2 linked regions of the Cricetulus griseus genome follow. The protein of the gene in region 1 interacts with the protein of each later gene in a biochemical or structural test. Links are inferred from orthologs where the notes say so. Each region holds a gene or a part of one and is shown on either strand. Other genes may lie near its edges.

Region 1 (3,522 bases):
ACCTATAATCCCTCCAGTTTAGCCATTCAATGCTCCTCAGTCCAATACTTCCACTCCTCCAAGAATCATCTGTAGCTAAGTACTGGTGCCTTGTATCAATTTTTAAAAGTATAAAATGATGGCTTTTTGATAAAAATGTTAATGGAAATATTTGGTCAGTCAATGTAAGATAACCCCTGCCATCTTTCAATTCAATATAGTGTTGACAGACAGTGTGAAATGTTTAGAACATACTTCTCTGGTGTCATCTGCAATCACAAACTTCTTGCATGGTTCCTTTATTTGGTGTTTAAGTTGACCGAGATTCTCTTTCACTGTTTTAATGGTAAATGCATCAAGATTGGCACATATCTGGAAAAGAGACACTTTAAGTATTCTTACAATTGAATGCATATTTTTGTGTCAGCAAAGTGTAACATGAAGTTTTTAGCATAAATATATAGCATAACATTTTATTCAAGTAATATGCAACATTATTTATTAACTGTAGCATTTTAGCATTGCTTACTATGGATTCAATCAATCAATGATCAATAATATTCTGGTATCTTCTAAAAGTGTGTTCTAATTCCTTTTTTGTCCTTTAAATTCCATTTTGTAGATGTTATATAGGACTTAGCCTCATTCTTTTCTACATACAAAGAGAACAGCACAAAGGGAGGGGCTGCCTTACTCTTTGTGCCTAGATCCTAAGTAGAAGTTAGGCTTTTACTCCCATAATAAGTTATATTTTGGAGACAACACTCTTCTGAATGGTTTTTAATTTAATAATTTCTACTGAATTCAACCTACAATGGGAGGCTTCTGAGGACTCTGATGATCTCACTTGAAACCAACAGCAGCACTGTAAATGGCACCCCCATATGGGGAAGTTGATGAGTACATCTTTAATAAAAGATCCTCCTATTTCTATTTCTCATTCCCCCCACTCACATCCCCAAAGCCAGGGTAAGACAGGGTCTTACTCAGCAGCATTAGCTGGCCTGGAACTCACTATGTAAACTAGCAGCAATCTGCTTGGCTCTGTTTCCCACTTGGCCAGAATTAAAGGCAGGAACCACTGCATTTGCCTCTTTCCTCTTTTAACTTGAATAACCTGTATCCTAAACTGACACATAGTGGAAAAAGACACAGAAAGCAAGCTGCTTTGAAAGTCATGGAGTAACAAGCCATCAGGAATGAACATTGTCAACATTTGTAGTTTAACTATGTTTCTTTATCAAGAAGATCATGAAGTTCAAGTGCAGAAGCGACGACGTAGCTGCACAGGCATTCTACTCAACCCAAACCTCATTAATTTTGGTTGTGAGCCTAGCCATTAATGGCTGAGCCATCTCTGTAACTCTTCTCATTAATTACATCTAGCTTCATAGCAATTATGCTATCGCTCTGTATTGCTTGCATTTATGAAGGATATCACATGTTGTAGAAAATTGAGGCTAATTTCTAGAGGCAAAGCAAATAGCCTTCATTTCACTGATGACATTGGCACTTGAATTCTCAACACCATTTAAAATCCTAAGACATAGACACAGCTTGTTTGGTCATTCACTAACTCAATGACTTACATTTAAAATATGTTTTTCAGCCTCAGCTTGCTTTTTGGCTCCTCCAACACCAGGTGAAGCTGTCAGTCCTAGAATCTGTGGCAGGTGAACTACTGGTTTGTTTTGTTTCTTGAGCTTATTGTTCTTCAATTTCTGCTTCAAATACCGCCTCATGATATTGTTGTAGACTGCCTCCTTATTGGTGTGATGACATTCATCAATGATAATGAGGGAAAAATCTTAACAGAAAAGGTAGAAGGTCTGATTACCCAAAATGGCATGGTACAATAAGACAAGCACCTTGGTGCTATAAAGGAATGCACTACCATTGTGTGTCTTTCATTGGGTAGAGTATTGGTACAGCCCTACCTCAATCTGCTGTCATGACTTTACCCATTTATTACCATACATGAAAACATGTTTATGTATGGTAATCATGGCTCTGTTCCTATTAGCTGTTATCCCTGTCTCAAGATAAGATTCAGAAAGTGTTAGTGAAATTCACATCTTTCTTCCAAATAAACAAACAACAAAAACAAAAATCTCCCCAGGGATCCACTTTTGTTCTTGAATAAAATTTTAATTTTAGGCTGACAAATTCTATTTTTGTTATACTGAGTGAAAAGTATACTATTTAAAGAGGGATGGTTTTGTGTTGTTTAAACTTTGCATTTAATTATTGTGATTTTCTTCTACTTTTCTCTGTCTTTCTCCTAATCATTTAACCCTCCCAAATAATGTAAGCAGGATTGTAGTTTTATTCTACAGTAAATAAGATAGTTGTAGCCGGGTGGTGGTACATCCCTGTAATCCCAGCACTCCAGAGGTAGATCTCTGTGAGTTCAAGGCCACCCTGGTCTACAGAGCTATACAGAGAAACCCTGTCTCAAAAAGCCAAAAACAAAACAAAACAAAAACAAAACAAGATAGTTGTAGTAGGATCTATCATCAAATTTAAAAATTATATACATAATATTTTATATATGATATATATTATAATGTAATTATTCTCTCTGAGAGACACAAGCAGAATGACAGCACAAAGGAAGAACTATTAACCTCTCAAAGAAGGATTTAGAAAAATTCTGGTACACTGTGGGTCAATCAAAAATTAAGTTGAAAGTGTTTGTGTGTGTGTGTGTGTGTGTGTGTGTGTGCGTGTGTGTGTGTGTGTGTGTGTGTGTGTGTGTGTGTGTGTGAGAGAGAGAGAGAGAGAGAGAGAGAGAGAGGGGTAATGGAAGAACATAGTGAGTGCTTGATGTTTGATTTAGTAATGATATACTTATGCAAAAGCAAGCCTTCGAGTCAAACATTTTTTTGTTTTTGTTCATATTTTTCAGGAGGTACAGCACTTTGATGATCCTTATGAAATAAAAAATAACTTAGATAAGCTAAGGTTAATTTTCATCATGTAAAAAATGACTGAAGGAACATCCCCTGTTACTGTCTTTAATGTTTCTATGAGTCCTTTTTTCTAAAAGTGATCACTCCGACCAACCTGACAGCTGCACACCATCATCTTCTCCACTCTCCAGATTTAGGAGGGAATTCTCCAGGATCTGAGCTGTGCTGATGATAACGTCATAAGACTTGACAACTTCTGGAAACGATATTTTCAGCTGGGTGTCACCACTTAATCCAATAATGCGATACCATTTCTTCAAAAATGGGTTGAACTCTTTGCGGAAAAGTTGCTCAGCTAACATCACCTTTAAAGATGAGAACATACAGATATCTTAAAAATTCAGATGAAACAGAGAGGAAACCAAAGTGAAAAAAAAAAAAAACAGAGGAATATCAGCCAAAGGACTGTGTGTGGACTCATAAGAGAAATATTTGTATTGAATCAGTTAATTTGAAATTACCATCTATATATCATTCAATCTATTCATCTGACATTAAATACCTATTGTGTTTACATTAGATGTAGACACTGCATCTAGAACACAAAGGTATTTAAGATAAGGCTGATGAC
Region 2 (2,307 bases), on another chromosome or scaffold:
TCCTGAAACTCAGCTTTGTAGACCAGGCTGGCCTCAAACCCACGGAGATCCACCTGCCTCTGCCTCCTGAGTGCTGGGATTACAGTTGTGCACTGTCACGTCTGGCCAAGGGAGGGGCTATTGTCTAGTACTCAAAACATTCCAGGTTCTAACCCCAGTTAAAAAAAAAAAAAAAAAAAACATCCCAGGACCCTCATGGAAGCTTGTTCTGGAAGAGCAAGGGCAAGCTGTTCACATCCCAAGCACCCACACCCATCACCACATCTGCTCTCCACAACCTGTGCTTAGTCCCCAGCTGGTGGAACTGTTTGGGAAGGGTTAGGAGGTGTGGCCTTGTTGGAGAAGGTGTGTCACTGGGGGTGGGCTTTGAGGTTTCAAAAGCCCATGCCGGGCTTAGTTTCTCTCCCTCTTCCCCTCCCCCTCCCCCTCTCCCTTTCTCTCCCTCTCCCTCCCCCACAGATCAGGATGCAAAGATCTCAGCTACTGCTCCAGCACCAGGCTTGTCTGTTTCCTGCCATGATGATCATGAACTAACTCTCTAAAACTGTAAACAAGCCCCCAGGTAATGCTTTCTTTTATAAAACTTGCCTTGGTCATGGTGTCTCCTCACAGCCATAGAACAGTAACTAAGACAGATGTCTAGGCAATGCCAAGAACTTGGCTTTTGCTTGGGGCTGGGGCTTCTCCTTCAAAGAGAGTGAAAAGTAAACTTTGATTTAGATGCTCCCCTCTCATCTGTGTCCTGAGCCAACAGAGAGGCCAACAGCTATTCCTTGAACAATAGTGGCCTTCAGTCTCCAAGTCAGAGGCTGAGCCACTCTTGGCCTCACCGGCATGGTGACACTTGTCTGTGCCCCTGTCAGCAGAGTGCTGAGGCCTCTTCCCTGGGCCCTGGAGGGAGCTTGGCCTCAGGCTGGTGGCAAAGAGTGAGGGTCCTCCCCTCAAGGAGCCAGAAGACAGGGAAGAGAGGCTGGCTGAACACCGCATAGAAGGTATGGAGCCTCTCTGTCCGTGGCTCTAGGCTGTAGAAGTTGAGGCAGCCAGAGGTCAAGTTCAAATCTATGCCCAGGAGAAGTCCAGGTGCCCCATGTAGGCGCTCAGCCTTGCCGTTGTGCCAGGCCTGGATACTGTCCTCCTGGATGCAGAGGCCCCAGGAGTAAGGTCCACGGCCGATGTTATCCGTGTGGTTCCCCACCTTCCGGCGTGATAGTTTTGGGTAGGTGACACCCAATGTCACAGAGTGTTCAGAGGCACGCACCTCCCAGTAGTGCTGTCCAGTCTGAAAACTCTGGGTACACTGTACCTGCCACAGCTCAAAGCTGCCTGGCCTGACTGGGCTCTGGGCCTGGAAACGGTGTGTCACCTGCTGGTCCTCATGGGACAAGTACAAGTACTGGTTTGCAGTGTCCGGGTCAAAGGTCAGATTACGATAATCTATTCAAAAGAGATGAAGAGAAGCAGGCAAAGGTGTCATTTTTCTTTTCTACAGCATAGAGAGCTACTGCGGGTCCATTTACAGACAGTTCAAATGTCTACCAGGCTTGGAGGGCAGAGCACCAGGCATCATTATAGTAGCGAACTGTTCATTGCTACCTCTGAGCTGGGATCTTCTACATCTTCCCATTTTACAAGAGGGGAAACTGAGGTTCAGAGAGTTGAGATCACATAGTATTAAGTGGAAAAACTGTGAGGGACCCTAGGTGCATGTGGTCAGAATCTGCCCTTTAACACTTTGCTGGCTGCAGCTGCCTCAGGGCGGATGTGGACGCAGGTTACATCCTGCAACAAGTGCATAGGTGGGGCCAGGCCCAGGAAGGTCCATGGACAGGACAGTCATATCGGGGCCCTCACCCCATATATACCCAGACACATGCTTGCATACATGTGCTGTCATGAGCACACAGATGAGTGTACACGCACACACGTACACACACAGGCATCCTTACTCTGCCAGAGCTTCTTCCTCAGTGGACACATGGTGCTGGGGACTGGTGGTGGGGGACCCAAGGCCTCTAAAGAACAAATCAGAAATAGGGGAGTGGGTAGGAATGACCCCTGACTCCCCACTTCTACACACTAGTGGGAGGGAGAGTAGCACTCAGAAGACAAGGAGAAGTCAGCCTTACCCACAGGGCCAGCCTGGGCAGCTTTGCCTGCCACTCTGGAGGGCTTGTCTTCGAGGAGGAGCTCGCATAGCGGGCTAAGCAATTCATTCACGTTGTTCAACTGTTGCTCTTCATCCCACTGCAGAGCGGTCGGTGGCCCAAGGGACTCTACAGGCTCAGAGAGCTGCTGTAATCCCTGAAC

What was found.
Region 2: of the proteins of Ifih1 (region 1) and Trim65, one has a biochemical effect on the other in vitro, tested with the Homo sapiens proteins (2 studies listed by BioGRID, with this or other methods). The link is inferred for Cricetulus griseus from reciprocal best matches to the Homo sapiens genes IFIH1 and TRIM65.

What each region holds. Positions count from the first base shown.
Region 1 is NC_048599.1:112,294,003-112,297,524, reverse strand, and holds part of Ifih1 (interferon-induced helicase C domain-containing protein 1), read right to left. Parts: intron 3,257-3,522; coding exon 3,046-3,256; intron 1,787-3,045; coding exon 1,569-1,786; intron 352-1,568; coding exon 235-351; intron 1-234.
Region 2 is NC_048600.1:128,708,520-128,710,826, forward strand, and holds the end of Trim65 (tripartite motif-containing protein 65), read right to left. Parts: intron 2,302-2,307; coding exon 2,127-2,301; intron 2,013-2,126; coding exon 1,947-2,012; intron 1,435-1,946; coding exon 860-1,434; 3' UTR 513-859; downstream 1-512. UniProt on the Homo sapiens protein: E3 ubiquitin ligase that plays a role in several processes including innate immnity, autophagy or inflammation.